Pelodiscus sinensis: one gene and its partner. The protein of the gene in region 1 purifies or fractionates together with the protein of each later gene. This does not show direct contact. Links are inferred from orthologs where the notes say so. Each region holds a gene or a part of one and is shown on either strand. Other genes may lie near its edges. The genes, in order: KDR and CDH5.

The links.
Region 2: the proteins of KDR (region 1) and CDH5 purify together in Homo sapiens (affinity purification with western blotting; 3 studies listed by BioGRID and IntAct, with this or other methods). This does not show direct contact. The link is inferred for Pelodiscus sinensis from reciprocal best matches to the Homo sapiens genes KDR and CDH5.

What each region holds. Positions count from the first base shown.
Region 1 is NC_134715.1:85,101,027-85,108,981, reverse strand, and holds the start of KDR (vascular endothelial growth factor receptor 2), read right to left. Parts: upstream 3,595-7,955; 5' UTR 3,430-3,594; coding exon 3,366-3,429; intron 187-3,365; coding exon 96-186; intron 1-95. UniProt on the Homo sapiens protein: Tyrosine-protein kinase that acts as a cell-surface receptor for VEGFA, VEGFC and VEGFD. Plays an essential role in the regulation of angiogenesis, vascular development, vascular permeability, and embryonic hematopoiesis.
Region 2 is NC_134722.1:19,395,193-19,403,217, reverse strand, and holds the start of CDH5 (cadherin-5), read right to left. Parts: upstream 3,441-8,025; 5' UTR 3,262-3,440; intron 1-3,261. UniProt on the Homo sapiens protein: Cadherins are calcium-dependent cell adhesion proteins. They preferentially interact with themselves in a homophilic manner in connecting cells; cadherins may thus contribute to the sorting of heterogeneous cell types.

The DNA of each region.
Region 1 (7,955 bases):
GCGCAAGGTTCAGGAAAGAGGAAGGGTTCACCTCTCTATACAATTAATTAATAAATCATTGTCATAGTGATAATGAAAGCCAATGTTTCCCTTACCTGCAAGTAATATTTAGAGTATCATTTGCAGTTATTGCAAGGATATCTTTTTGTATGCTAAGACTTGGCTGATCTGGAGAAATAAACAAGCCTGCAAAAGAAAAGCAATAAATCAGAAAATCACTGCAAAAAAGGGGAAAGAGAGCATGTTTTAAGTTGACCTATTTGTTTAATGTGTTAAATGTTCTACAGCTTTTCACACATCCCAGTAGAAGTTCACGAGCTCTGTCATAACAGGAAGAATGGGCAGATGGTCATGAGCTAGCAGAATAGCTCTGCAATTCATAAAGCTCGGGTGGAGTTCCTGTTTTTTTGCATTACCAACTTCAAGGTCTAACAAAAGGATATGGGACATTGAAATAAAGTGAACCTTCATCTGATGATCTCACTCCCTTGGGAAAACTCTTATAGTAAATTGAATACATACATTTGCCAAGGCTGCTGATTAATGAATTCTGCTAAATTATTTTGCATAGTGCATCATAAACTCAAGGTCATTTGACCCAGTCTTGTTTTCCTTTATCGCATTTTCTAATGTATCTCCTTTGTTGCTTGAAACCCTAAGAAAACCTGTTTCTATCAAACCTTATTTAGGTGATTGGTTCCACGGCATTCGGGGAGAATACTCATGTCAGTTAAAGCTTGCAGATAATTTCCAATATTTGTTCTGATGTAACTGTCCTGCCCATGCAACCTTTCAAAGAACACAATGAGATGTTTTTGCCATTTATTATCATACTCACTCCCTTTGGGAATTCTGTGTCAGTAAAGGATGAGTACACATATCTGAGTAAGTTCTGAAACATTGCCTTGGCCAGACAACACGGCGTACTTAATGCAAATTCAGATGTACAAGGAGCAAATGAGTGAACGTGCACAATAAAATGAACAGCGATGGTACAGACTGGACCTCCTTTAACCAGGACTCCCTGGTTCAGCATCGTCCGTGGTCCATCCTAGACCACAGATATTCCTGGACCATAGAGCCCAGGAAGAGGGCAGTCTGGCAGGAACACTGTAAGGGGCACCGGCGACTCAACCGGGAGTCCAGAGTGTGTATGTGCGGTGGGGGAGGAGAGACAGCATGGCAGGGAGTTCTGGCCCCAGCTGAGCTCCCTGGCCCCAGCAGCAGCCAGGCCTGGCCCTGGCCAGGGAGCTCTGACCCCAGCGGCAGCCAGAGAGCTCTTGGTTCCAGCTATGGAGCTCCTGCTGCATTCTGGCTCCAGCAGCCACAGAACTCCAGCCCCAGCAGCCAGGGAGCTCTGGCCTGGGCCGCGGAGCTCTGTCCCCATCCCTCCACCCCAGCCACAGAGCTCCAGCCCCAGCTGTGGAGCCAGGTGGCTACAAAGCTCTGCCCTGGCTGTAGTGCCAAGCAGCTGTGGAGCTCTGCCTCACTGACAGTAAAGTCATCCTAGAGCTAGGGGCTTCACTATCTCGCCACAATTTCATCATATTTTTATCAAACCTTTCCTACAGAGATTCTTTGACAATAGGGTTCAGATAATTGATTTCTGTTGCACTTTACTGTAGAAAGCCATCACTAAGGTAAAAATTTGAATTAAGAAGGAAAATCAAATCAAATTTATAACTTACTCTTTATCATAGGATTTGCAAATAATGATTTATCTAATCTAATCGTCCAGCAAACAGGTTTAAATCTTTCTGGACTAAATCCTCCTCCCATTTGCGTGCCTTCAACAAAACTAGTGTACAGCTAAATAAGAGTCCCTAGAAGTGTTCGATACTAAAACTGAGATTTTATTCTCATTCAGTGTTGCTTTGTTAGACGTAAAAACTAAAGTAAAATAAGCTCCATTTAGTCAAGAATGTTCAGCCTTAGTCAAACTGACCATTGTATGGCTAGATTGTTTTCTTCAAGGTGAAACATCATGCCATGAACTAAAATTACTCTTATGCATATCTCTAAGGAGAGTATTCCAAAAGAAAATACATTGGTAACTTACATATGCACTTCAAAAAAAACATGATATACAAATATGAGGATCAATAAAATAGTATTACTTGTTGTGTAAACATGCAAATGTTTGGTATTAAATTAATATCCATATTATAATAGTCAAAATGTTTGAGTTCCAAACACAAGCATAATTTTAATTATATGAATATCCATATTAGAATAGCCAAAAAAGGTTATTTTTGTGTTAGACACAGGCATTATTTTAGTTAACTTCCAAGTCATCCCAATTTATTTAATTTCTGCTAAAATATTAATTTCAGTATGATTGTTATCACTGGGCTTAGTCTCAGTCTAAATAGCCTCCTTTAATGAGAAAGAGAATAGCATAAATGTATCATGTTGAATTTCAAGAATTTTGTACCACTTATTCCCAAGACAACGGTATAGTGAACAGGTGATTATTTCCAGGCACTCCACTCATTCTTGTTTAGGCTGTAGAGGCAGGAGTTAGTTGTATTTTGTGTCTTGCACAGCATATTGTTAGCTCCTCACAGACAGAAGGAAACTCCTTTTCCCCCATCTTGTTTCCCCATTCCCCCCTTTTCGTTAAGATCTGCCTTGGCCATGGGAAAGTTTGGCAAAACTGCCTGGCGCTTGGTGAGTTTTCTACAAAAGATGCAGGGATGAAATTATGGCTCCATCTCTACACATGCTGATCAGCCTGCATGGTCACTCCAAATTCTCCTGGTAAAGCCATGGCCTGTGCACCTGCCTATTCTCTCGTGCAAGGCACAGGATGTCCTGTCCTTTGCAGCACCTGAGCAGGAATAAGGAACAGCCTCTTCCTCTGGAGACCTCAGGGGAAGGAGGAGGCCATGGCCAAGGCTAAGACCTTTAACAAGCTCCGTAGGCAAAATCTCAGCTGGAGCTATAAATGGGGGTGACTCCCTTGGCTTCCCTTTCTCAACTCACCCAAGAAGACCGTCCCCAGGTCACCAGGCAACACAAGCCAGGGGCATAGGGTGAAATCCTCCCTCTACTGAAGCCAAGACCAAACCCCCCATTGACTTCAACAGGGGCAGGATTTCCCCGGGGGGTTTATTCCGCCTGCCCCAGTCCCTATGTTCTGGCTCCATGCGGTTCGCTTTGGGGGCTGGGACAAACCTCCCGTCGCTTCCCACGGCAGCAGGATCGGGCCCTGCTGCATCTCCGGGGTTAGCCCTCGCCCGGCTGCTCCCATCAGAGCATCTGCCCCGAGGCTCTGGCACTTCCCGGCGCGCCTGCCCAGCCTGGTCTCCCCGCATCTGCGCTCCATGGGCCGGAACCCCCCGGGCTCCCCGCGCGCCCCTCACCTGCAGCCGGCGGGCTCCCCAGCCACAGCAGCAGCGCCAGCGCCACCGCCACCGCGTCCTCCATCGCCCCCCGGGAGCGGGCTCCGGCTGCTGCCAGCGGCGCCTTGTGCGCAGAGCGGGCGGGCGGGCGCTAATCCTGGTGCCGCTGGGGCGAGTCTCTGCGCCCTGGGTGCGGGCAGGGCCGCTCCGCGCGAGCTGGGGCTGTGCCAGGGCATCGCAGCCGGCGCCCGCAGCGCCTCTTCTTTATTCCGGGGGAGGAGACAGACTCCTGCGGTGCCTCCCACCTGCCCGCCCCCGGCCTTCCCCTCGCCCCGCCTCCCCTGGGGCCTGGGCGCACGTGGCCGCTCAGCCCGCTGCAGTGTAGTGGCCCAGCAGCGCCCTTCGCCCCCAGCTTGCAGCGCTCAGACAGATGGGCTTTTATCGAGTGACCAACCCTCGGCCTCTCACCTCCCCTGCCTTCAGTGGGGCTTAACCATGGAGGGGGCTGGTGCATCTGCTTCTTTAAGCACTTGGCTGATCCTGCAGAGTCTTAACATCATGATTTGAGGACTTCAGAGCCTGGGGTTTAATTACAGACATAGGTGTTGGAATGGGGGTGCTGCAGGTACTGCCACACTACCTGGCTTGAAACAATAATGACAACCCAAATCCATGATTTCCACCTTCAGCATTGCCACGGCACCACTAATTACAGGAATGGGAGAGAATTTTGCAACTTGCAATGTGCAGGCAACTAGATCATGATGGTCCCTTTTGATCCTAAAGTCTATGAGATTCACTGCAAACACTGATGCATTTTGCTTAATCCATCCCAGTCAGCAGGCTTTATTAGAGAATAACAGCCCAGAGACAATCAATTTGGATCATATAGCCAGTTAAAGACTGCTGGCTTCAAGTACAATTCCTGAACATAAACTATATGTGCTTCAGCAGCAAGATCTTGTAAGCACTAGCCCTGGGGGGTTCCCAAACTACTCAGACATCACAGCTAAGGGAAAGGATATTTTACTTGGGCTGGAAGGAAAAGGAAAACTTGCAAATACCCTCTGTACAGAGCCTTGGATTAAAAAGTTGCAATTCTAAGTGAGCAATTATTGTAAGCATTTGGGTCCTTGGAGGTGGTGCAGTAAAGAGTGGGGGCTCTTCAGACCTAATGCCTAAGGTGCCCTCTCTGGTCCAGTCTCTGTTATTCATATCAAATAGGATCTTGTGGGTTTCCAGGCAGGCTCATATAGGCCAAGTCCAGACTAGCGAGCAATGTCAAACTAAGATACGCAAGTCTAGCTACATGAATAGCTACAGCTACAACTTACCACAGCATCCCTACTTTGAGGGCTCAACAGGAAAAACTCTCTCATCAACTTCCCTTTCTCTTCTTGGTCCAGTGGATTATCAGAGTCGACAGGAGCGTGATCAGCGATCAAATTAGCAGGTCTTTTCTAGACACGTTAAATCGAATCCCAGGACATCAATCTATGCAGCAGTATGTGTAGACAAGTGTATCACTGGGCTCCCTCTGCACTTGTTCTCTGCCCAGGCACTCCTGTTCCCCCACAAGTCCTACATAGACTTTTAATGTCTGGCAGTCACAGCCTGTCTACATATAGTACTACTGCATATGGTTCCTGTCTCCACCTTTTAACCAGCTCCCTTCTTGCAAGACAAGATTGAGAGGCAACTGGAGACAGGGTGTATGTTTGTGAAACAAACAAACAAACAAACAAAAAAGCAAGCTACTCAAGGGAAGGCCAATCACCACATTGGGCACATTGCTTATGTGTTTCTTTAAAGAGCCTTTGTCTCCCTTTTTAAATTGTAAAATCTTTGTAGTGGGGACAGCAACTGTGCCTTCCTTTCTGTTTGTACAGTGTCCAGTAGGGATGTAAAATCCCTTTTTAAAAGTTAAATGGTTAAACGTTATATTGAGCGGGTTAACCAGGATCCCACAGACAAGGGGGTCTCTCCAGCCCAGCCAGGCTGGACCAGCCCCCTGCACACAGTAACTCCTACTCCACCCTGGGTTGCTCCGCCCAAGCTGGGATGACTGAACCAACTGTGCCATGGATGGTGGAGCCTGGGGGACTGCTCAAGCGGGGCTGGGCCCACAGCAATTCAGCATAGACCAGCCAGGCCACCAGTTAACCAGTTACCCACTTAACCCTTTACATCCCTAGTGTCTAGCACACTGTGATCATCCCTGGAAACAAATAAGTCAGTGATGTGGGCTGAATAGCAGGGGAGGAAGGTGACTTTTGCCACAGCTTTTTGGATGTTCTGGTAAAGAACAAATTAAGGAAGTGTTATTTACCTCTTCACATAACAAGATACTGTAAAATCTGGAGTATAATGTGCACCTATGTATAATGAGCATCCGCCTTTTAAAGGTCAAAATTCTTGAATAAACTAAACTCTTATCTATAATCCGCACCCTCATTATACTCGAGATTTTAAGGTATGCATAGGAAGGAAGGGGCTCGCGCCTGCTGCGGGGTCCCCCTGCCCAGCTGAACTCATGCAGGCTGAGCTCACACCTGCTGGGGGAGCCTCTCCAACCCAGCTGTCCGCATGCCAAGCTTGCGCCTGCTGGGGGGGGGTGTCCCCCGCCCAGCTGACAGCACGCTGAGCTCGCGCCTGCGGGGCCCCACCCCACCCCAGCTCAGCCCAGCCCCGCCCAGCTCATGCCTGCTGAGGGTGAGTTTAAAACTTTTTTAAAAACCTCCTATAAATAATGCGCACCCCGACTTTGATGCTAAAAAAAACGGGGGAAAATTGTGCATTATATTCGAGATTTTACGGTACTTGGTGATTACCTAATGAAATTAATAGGCGGAAGATTTTTTTTTAAAAAGGAAGTATTTTTTCACCCAATGCTGTCAGCCTGTGGAACTCATTGCCAAAGGATCTTGTGAAGGGCAAAAGTAAAACTGTGCTAAAGAATTAGATAAGGTCATGGAGGGCATGGTCATTAGCTAACATGGTCGGGGACTCAACGCCATGGTCTGGGTGTCCGTAGCCCTCTCACTGCCAGAAGTTGGGATGGGAAGACAGGGGATGGATCACTCAATAAATCAGCCTGTTCTGTTCATTCTCCCTGAAACATCTGGCACTGGCCACTGTCAAAAAACAGGACACTAAAGTAGATGGACTGCCAGAGAAGCAGAGGCTTATAGTTGGCTTCCTGAGTGCCTTCCCCGTTGCTGCACTGAGGCTACGTCTACACTACGAGTTTTCTCGGCAAAAAGCATGCTAATGAGGGCCTCATTTGCATGAGTCGCAATCTCAATTGCATATTTTCTGCTGATCTGTTTTTGCACTGTGGTTTTTGCGCAAAAACAAGCAGTTTGAACATTTTCTCTTTGAGCAAAAACTCCTTTTTCCACAAGATCCTTATGCCCCAAAAAAGGAGGTTTACCGATCTTGTGGAAAAAGGGGTTTTTGCGCAAAAATAAAATGTCCTCACTGCTTGTTTTTGTGCAAAAACCCTAGCACAAAAACAGATCGTCAGAAAATATGCAAATGAGATTGTGACTCATGCAAATGAATCCCTCATTAGCATATTTTTTGCAGAGAAAACTGGTAGTGTAGACATAGCCTGAATGTATCTTGACCATAACAGAACATCTTAGCCCTTCATGTGAGAGCTCATGACTAAAGGATCCAGTAGACTCAGATTGCCTGATTCTGCCTTCCTCCGAAAACAGGAACTAGAAGGCTCTTTATAGAGTGGCACAGATGAGATAATTTGTCAGACTTGGAGGGGACTTACGGAAGGCTCCCAACAAATCACCTTGTTTTGTTTTTTGTTGTTGTTGTTATTCCCTGGAGAGTCAACCTGTTTCCCTGCAGTAGTTTAATAAAAACCATTTCTCTCTCCCTCAGGCTCTAAACTAGGAAAACCCTGTATTTTGAAAACAATCAATGGGCAAGATATGTGTAAATGGGGGAGGACAAACATCTCCCCTTAGCTAAACAGGGGCCAACATGCTTTTGTTTATGCATCTGCTGCTGTGATGGCCAAAACCTCATTAAATACAAGACACAAAGAAACAGCAAAGACTTTTGGAAAGGGATCAGGCCAGAGGCTGGCAGCTCCCCTGAGTCATTCCCCCTTCCCTCTCCCCTCTGACATAGTCACGACTCCTCAGCACTTTGCAGCCAGCCAGGACCCTGGCTTTAGGAGCCTGGCCCGGACAGCCAGCAGCAGCAGGGCAGACAAGCAGCCTTTTGTTTTCTTAATTATTTCAAACAACATCCTGGGGAAGATATGGACTGGTGCTGAGGTTCATAGCCTTGGCTGCTTTAGCCCAGGAGCTCTATAAATGGCCTCTGTGTATATCTTCCCAATGGGCCACTTCAACCCAGTAGCACCAGCAGCACAGAATGCAAGGCTATCAGCACGGCAGCACAAATGCAGACTGCACATGAACATAAGTATGGCTAAGCACCAGGGCTCAGATCCTCCATGATATTTAGACATCTAACCCCCACTGATTTCACCTACATACATTTAGGCACTAAATCCCCATTTTACCTATTTAAAAATGGTCTGATTTTCAGAGGTGCTGAGCATCAAAAATTCCCATTGACTTT
Region 2 (8,025 bases), on another chromosome or scaffold:
CACAAATATATCTGTTCTGAGCTTTGTTCCTTAGTGCAGCTACTGTTTTCTGTTACTGAAACTCTCATGTGAATTGAAGTGACTCAGCAGCCTGATTGCAGAAAGTTGACTTTTTTCTCCAAATTATTTTTCACAATAACTTATTGTGTCCCATATATACTAGGGAATGCTAAATTCACGCTGTGCCTGAAATGGACATTAAATAACAGCAACTGCCTTTCAGTGGAATCAGCCACAAGACAAAACATGGTGTGTGTATATGTATCTTTCCAGCTCATTGACTTTCATGAGTTTCATGGAATTTGGACTTATGCAGGGTCTGGTGTTGAATGTTTCCTGAGAACTTTTAGTTCAAGTGAATGTTTAGGGGAATTAAGGATGCACAACACTTTAGAGGGTCAGGCCCAAAATACCATATCTGCCTGCCATATTGATATTTCATGCAATAAAATAAGCTCCAGAAGATAGTAACATATTCTTGAAAGTATGTCACAGGGCTCTGAAAAATGTGTTAAAAAAACCCATACATCCCTCAATTTGCCTGGTTTCATGCTTTGTTACAAATTTGAACAAGCTTGCTATAAGGTATATTTAAAGCTCACAATCTGGTTGAGTAAACATAAGGTCAGTGAATGGGCCAATTTATGTTTTTGCCTTGAAGCTGTAGCCTTTAATGGAAAACTTAGCAGTTTTTTATGGGATTTGAGTTTGGGGATTTGAACAAACCCCAAACTCAAAGCAGAAATTGGGATATGAGTGGGTTGTGAAATTCAGAAACAAAAGAAAATGTTAATGGAAACCCCCTGATAACTGAAATATTTTAGTTGTATGCAGCCTTAACCATGGCATTGTTCCTTTCCGTGTTTCCACTACAATACCAAGAATTCTGGAAGTACGTTTCCCAGTAGTATTTTTGAGAATGGATCTCAGAACTATAAAACTGCTCACATAAGGTGAAATGGTGGCTTCAGATCACCATGACTTGTGACCGTCATTATGGTGGGTCCTTGTGTTTTGATGTTGGTAGTAAATATGACACTAAACCAGTTCTCCCAGACTTGATCGCTCCAAAACGTTGTCGTCATTTCAAATCTAAATCCAGAATTGAGGTAAGCAAACAGCTGCTATCTTTGTAGTAGGCCACACTTGTATCCCTGCATCTGAGTGAAGTCAAGGTCTGTTTGGAATCCAGATCTAAATCCAAATTCTTGGAAGGATTTTCAAAGGCGTAAATAGGAGGTAAGCATCCAGCTTCCAATGAAAGTCAGTGTGTCTTGGGTGCCCGTCCGCTTTTTGTGCCTTGCAAATCTCCCTCCTCCCCCTATTTCTTGGGCACATCTCTAGTTTGCACAAATAATGACTGACACATAACAGTGCAAAAAGGAAATTAATTCTACCAACATATGTGCTCAGCAATTGGGGCTCCTCTCATTTTAAACATACTGGAATGAAGAGTGAAAAGTACTTTGTGCACCTTTTTAAAATGCTTTCCTCCAACACAAAATATTTCCAGTTCACACATCTCATGAAAGACATTTTTCCCCACTTGTCATTAGAGTTTGAATCTATCTAAATTAAGCTCCAAAGTGATCTGGAATGTGGATACACTTACATTAGAAACAAAAATGATGTATAAATGGTAAAACTTTAGACTAATCCTTTTTGAAAACCCAACCACCACTATTTGCTTGATTTTAAACCCCATCTTGCAGACAAGAAATAGTTTATTTTTTCTATTTTTCACTGGAAAAGGAAGATTTGTTTTCTTTTAAATATTATTTTATGTTTATATAGCCAAGCTCAGCAAAAGCTACAATCATATGAGCTTCCAAGGCAGAAATTATACAAGTCCCTTCACATATATCCTGTTTTTAATTACTCTATTCTACTTCAACAAAAGCAGGATATGAGGCAAACATATTATTTTGACAAATACCTTCATAACCGTTAACTGTTTGTGAAACACCTTCTGCTTAAGCATGTTCAGTACTGAGCCCTGCATCTAGCCCTATAGAAAAATCACAATTTTAATATTTAATATTTAAGATCGGAGAACTATTCACAAAAGCAGCCTATTCCACATTTTTTTTTCTTGAATTTCACATTCTTTCCTGTAGCATGGCATGCAGCACGGTGAGGTATAGTCCTCCCTGACTATAATTCCAACAGACACAAAGATGCATTGATTCCACTCTTATTCATAAACATTTGTGTCTTTGCAAGTTGCATGGAAAAATACAACTGAGGGACCTGCTACTATAACTATAAACATTATAGTTATAACAACATAAAAGCTCTGTCAGCGGTTTTCCTGTTTCAAGGCCCTCTCCATAAAGTAACTTACCAAAAAACTAGTAAGTTTGGAGAGCTGAGAGCCAGAAGCTTCTACTTCCAGACCAACAGATGATTGTAGGGATTAGGTATAATTAAATGGAACTTAGAACATCAAGGGTAACATTTTCAGAAGCACCTGAGTCCCATTTTTAAAAGTTGCCCAGGAACTTAGGCCCCAAAATCTCATTGAAAGTCAATGGGGACTTATATTCCTATTTGCCTGAGTCCCTTTTGAAGCTTTAAATCACTTATAAGTGATTTAAAGTGCCTTGTCTTTACACATATGTAGTTCCAGCTATGTGAAATCTGCATAGAGTTGCCTTTTGAACATGAGAGCTCTAACTTTTTGGTTCTTAGCTCCAATAGCAGTAATATTCCTTTCACAATTTTAAGTAGGTAAGAATACCCAAGGAACTCTGCAACCTTGAGCCAATGTATTTATGTCTGAAGGAAGCCAGATATAACATAGCATACATTTTTTCCAATGACAAACTAGTAAGCCTATTACTGTCTGCACTGCAGCTGAAAGGTCCCCAGATACATTTTGTAGTATTGATTCTGTTATTATGTCTCCTTGTAAAAGCCCAGTGACAGCATATCCTGGTATCTCAGCTTGCATCATGAACCACAGGTATAAAAAAGATATATTTCTTCAAGTCTAAATACTCCTTACAGTGTGAGAGTATTTTTCTGTAGCCTCAGAGAACCTGATTTTAATTTCATGCCAGTGTAAACTAATAGTATCTCCACTGATGCCAATAGAATTATGCCCAAGTTACAGCAGGATCACCTTAGAGGATGCTGCAAAGATATCTAATGACAGAATATTAAGTAAATAGTCCATCTCAGAACTTTAAACAGAAATCAAAGCAATAAAAGCCCTTAAAATTTACTTGAAAAGAGAAAGAGTACTCCACTGTCCCTTACCTGTTACACAAGAGGCGGTGAAGCTTTACTTTTATCCAAAGTTAGACAAACTAAATCAAAAGTATCCAGAAATCTACACAGCACTACTCAGAGTGAAGAACAAGTAACAAAAAAATCAGTTTTCATTGTCATTAAGCAATTCTGGGAGTGTTCAGCTTTCCAATCTCCAAGGTTCCCCAGCTGGGAGTCAGCCTTTTCCCATCCTGCATGCCAGCATCCTGTTATTGTTCCAAACCTTAGTAATGCCAATGACAGAAAAGAGTGGAGGAAACCAGATAAACTTAGGCTTATTATTACTATGCTTACCTTTTCAGAGGGACAACAAATAAGTATCTGAATAAAGGGAAATGGACTCTACCAGAAATACAAACCAGTGCTGGTGCTTAATATGTTTAGTACTAAACAGTTTAAAACAATCCCAGAATGAATACTTAGTATGGTTTATTTTCAAATGTTTTGTGTTCAAATGGAACAAGATTCTTCAATATTTTAGTAAGTCAAAGCCATCAGGATTTGTACACCAGAAACAATGATGAATGAAGTGCTCATCAGTCAGTTGGGAGTTCCCATAAACTTCCACTACTTCCCTTGGTGCAGAATTGATGAGTTTGCTAGTGGCATGAAAAAATATTTAGTAGATTGGTGTATACTGAAATTTTGGAAAATAAACATGAGTCAAATTCTGCTCTTGACAACAGCAGTATAGATTTGAAGCAACTGTGGTTCACACCGGTATGTTTGAGAGCACAATTTGGTTGCATGTCTTCAATTTAGGGCATGATTCTCCTCTGCCTTGCACTTTGTATATTCATTTCCACCTGTACAGGAAGGACACAGAAATGCTGCTGTTCGGATTTAGTTGCAAAGCACTAAAGAGACCTCAAAATTTAAGAAAAAAACTCTAATGGGAAAACTTTTGAATTAAATTGTTGCATTGCAATTTTTAAAGCTGATGAATATTTAGGGAGAGGGAAGGGGGAAAGTTAAACATTCCAAGTTGAGTGGTTGCAATTATGCTTGTGGACCTGATTTATTCTTCTGTTGCAGTCCAATGGGAGTTTCCCAGGTTTAGACCACAGTGAGTTTAATGGGCATTGCACCCATGAAAGTTAAGGTAGTTCAGTGTGAGAAGCAGATGGGTCTTCATAGAGCTCACATAGGCCTCGTCTACACTAACCCCCACTGTCGATCTAATCTACGTGAATTCAGCTATGCAAATAGCATAGCTAAAGTCAACATACTTACCACAGTGTCTTGTGTGCAGTAAGGTCAGCAGGGGCTACTCTGCCATTGACACCAACTACTCTTCTCATCCTGGTGGAGTATTGGCATCGACTGGGGAGCACTCGGAGATCAATTTATTTAACCAGACACAATAAATTAACAGCCAGTAAATCAATTGCTGTAGTGTCGATGCCCAGCGTAGTGGATACAAGTCCATAGAATATTTGTGCTCTGTTCTGGGACAGCAACATATACTTTAATTTCTCCTCCTACCCTAAATGCAAAGAAGAAAATGTAGACCCGCTATTTCTTTTACCCTGCAAGCCAGAGAGGAATTACTTTATTAAATAATTCAGGAGCAACTCTGAGAAGCATGAGATTAAAAAGAGACCAATGTCTGAGGTCTTACAGGTATGTTATAATAAATGTAGCCAAATGTGCAACATATTTTATAGAAGACTTTAAATAATAACATCCTGCAGTGAAATACTCGCTTGCCCCTATGCTTCATCACAATTTAGCAAAGGTAATGGGATTGATTTTTCCAGTTTTCTAGAAGACTGGTCTTTGGTTACATTATTTCACATTTTTATGACATGCAGTGGCAAAGATGAATAGCTCTTTTAAAATTTTGATACATTAATTATTCAGGAAGGTTAAGCACCTAATGAGCGGATATTTTTCAAAGTCTTCTTTAAGGAGACTGATTATAATTAGGTTTCCTCATAAGAAAATAAGCAGTTTCTATTTCACTGCTGAGTGAAGAGGAGAAGGAGAGATGGGGAGGATGTTAACTGCAGTTCACTGGAAAACAGTCATCTGCAGATGATGCAGCTTAGGCAATAGACTCTGGTACCCAGAGCAGATGACAGTTGTAGCTAGTGTTTATATTTGCAAATAACTCTATTTTTTGGATTGACAGAATGATCTTTGTTTAACAAAGGATGGTTGCTTAAAACATAATAATGTCGTCTTTACAGGTAATTTCTAGTCCAAGTTTTGCCAAATCCATATAGTCATAATCAACTTCTGTCTCACTTAAAGCCTTTATTCAGAGTCTACAGAAGTCAATGGGAATATTTCCTTTGCCTATAGTGGGCATTGGAGGAGTCCAATAGTGACAATTTGGCCACATCTCAGAGAAGCTATTTTAGCTGCCCTTTCTTCCCATATGTATGCAGGGACTACAAACCAATATTTTCCTTCGGATCCTATAGAAATTAATGGAGAATTGTCTGCCTCAGCATTCTGAAGGATAGTGGGAAAAATCAAAACCAAGTAACACTATTTTTCTATTAGCATTTAGAGTCTAAAAACCTTATTAAATTTCCACTGACCCTTTTCTCACTCTATAGATTTTATCTCTATGGAACCCTATAGGATTTAAAACATTATTATGAGGTAATTTGAGCTTGGATATTTTAGGATAAACTATCTTTGGATACTTAACCAAAACCAGACAATCTCCTAAACTTTCAGGAACTTAGTCTTTCTCACAGTTGTGCTTTCTGGGCAATAAACTCCAGAGGCATCTAATTAAAGTGGATTTTCAGGGGTGTTGAACACTTGGGCTACGTCTACACTGGCCCCTTTTCCGGAAGGGGCATGTAAATTTCACCAGTCGTCGTAGGGAAATCCGCGGGGGATTTAAATATCCCCCGCGGCATTTAAATAAAAATGTCCGCCGCTTTTTTCCGGCTTTTTTAAAAGCCGGAAAAGAGCGTCTACACTGGCCCTGATCCTCCGGAAAAAGCGCCCTTTTCCGGAGGCTCTTATTCCTACTTCAAGTTTGAATCCATTGCCTCTTGTCTTGCCCTCTTTGGCCAGAGCAAACAACTTTCCTTCATCTTTTTTTTTTTTTTTATGGCAGCCTTTCAAGTATATGAAACACTGCTATCATGTCCCCACCAATCTCCTCTTTCCCAAACTAAACATACCCAGCTCCTTCTGTCTTTGCTCACTTCCATCCCTTTGATCAGCTTTATTGCTCTCCTCTGGATACTTTCCAGTTTCTCTACATCCTTTCCAGACAGCTGTGACCAACACTGGAAACTCCAGCTGAGGCCTCATTAGCATCTCATGTATCCTATCACCCATGAGAGGTGGGTAATGAAGGCAAGAGAAGGAATGTCCTACCCAAACTGACATAGGTAACTCCACCCATGCTCCACCCCAGGTTAGGACCCTTCCTTACCTGAATGCTGCAACCTGCTCTTTGCCCAGTGCTGGGGCTGGTGGCTAGAAGGAAGCGGGACACCTGGGTGTCGGGTCTGACAGTGTAGCCCATGCTTCCTGTCTGCCTGGTGCTCTGGCACTGGGAAGGCTGATGCAGCCAGGCAGCTACACAGCTAATAGCTCTGGGGCCAGAAAGGCTGGGTGTATGGCTACCCTGAGCTGGGAAGACTGGGGCTGTGTGGCAGCCTGGCCACCTGGCCACCCAGTGCTCTGGGTCCTGGAAGGTAGGCACTGTGCATCTGCCTGGTGCCTCAGGGTTGGGAAGACTGGGACACCTGGAGCTTTGGGGTCAGATAGGCTGGGAGTACAGAGAAAGGGCCAGCAGCTACAATGCCCAGCAACCTGGCACTTCATGCCACCCACCTTGGTAGCCAGCGAGCAGCCACAATGGAGAACTTGGGGAGCATGGGGCAAGGGTCAGTGGCTGTAGTGGGGGCTGTGTGGGCTCTAGCGGGCATGGAAGGGGCTGGGCTTGCCTCTCCAAGCCAGCTGTTCACCCACCATCCATGCTATCACCTTCTGTGATTTGCATGATTTGCCTCTGTTAATGCAATCCAAAATTGCATATGGTTGGTATGCTTTTACTGAGGTACCAAACTTTAAGCAGACAAGTTCAAAACTGTAGACCTCTGTGTTTAAACAGAAAAACTTTCTAGAAGTAGATGGGAATGTGTAGACAGTGCATGGAATCCTCAGTGAGTAATGTGATCCATTCAGAGTGGAGGAGAATTAGAAGATGGAAGGGCTCAGAGGACTCAGACTTTGTGCCAATAAAAGATGCTGAACTAGTCACTAAGGACCCATGGCAGTTGTCTGCAACTGTAAATCTCTTCTACCTGAAGGAGCATTCAGCCTTTTCCACTGATGACATATCTCTTCAACATTTGTTCCACAACACATTTTTCAGTTAACTGGAGCCAGTTTTTTCACCCTGACAGCTTTGCTCCCTTCCTAGTCTTTGCCCCTTGGATGTTCAGCAGCTGCTCTGCATGCTGTTTTTGTGTTAGTTTAGTGCCATCTGGTTGAGAGCAGCACCTCCTTCTATCACGAGCTAAGGTTTCAGACTCATCCTTGTGTTAGATGCTGACATATATGCAGACAATCTGAATTCTTTACTCTTGTAAAGTAAACAGTCTTTTTACTGGACTGGAAAAATTTCCAGTTTTATTGTTGAGAGCTGTTTGTCTTATCCAGCACTGTTTAAACTTGGCATTTGCATAATGCCTAATAAAGTATATATGAGCTTGTTAATGAGAATAACACATTACAGTGGCTTGTAATTGCTCTCCCATTTAATATAATAAA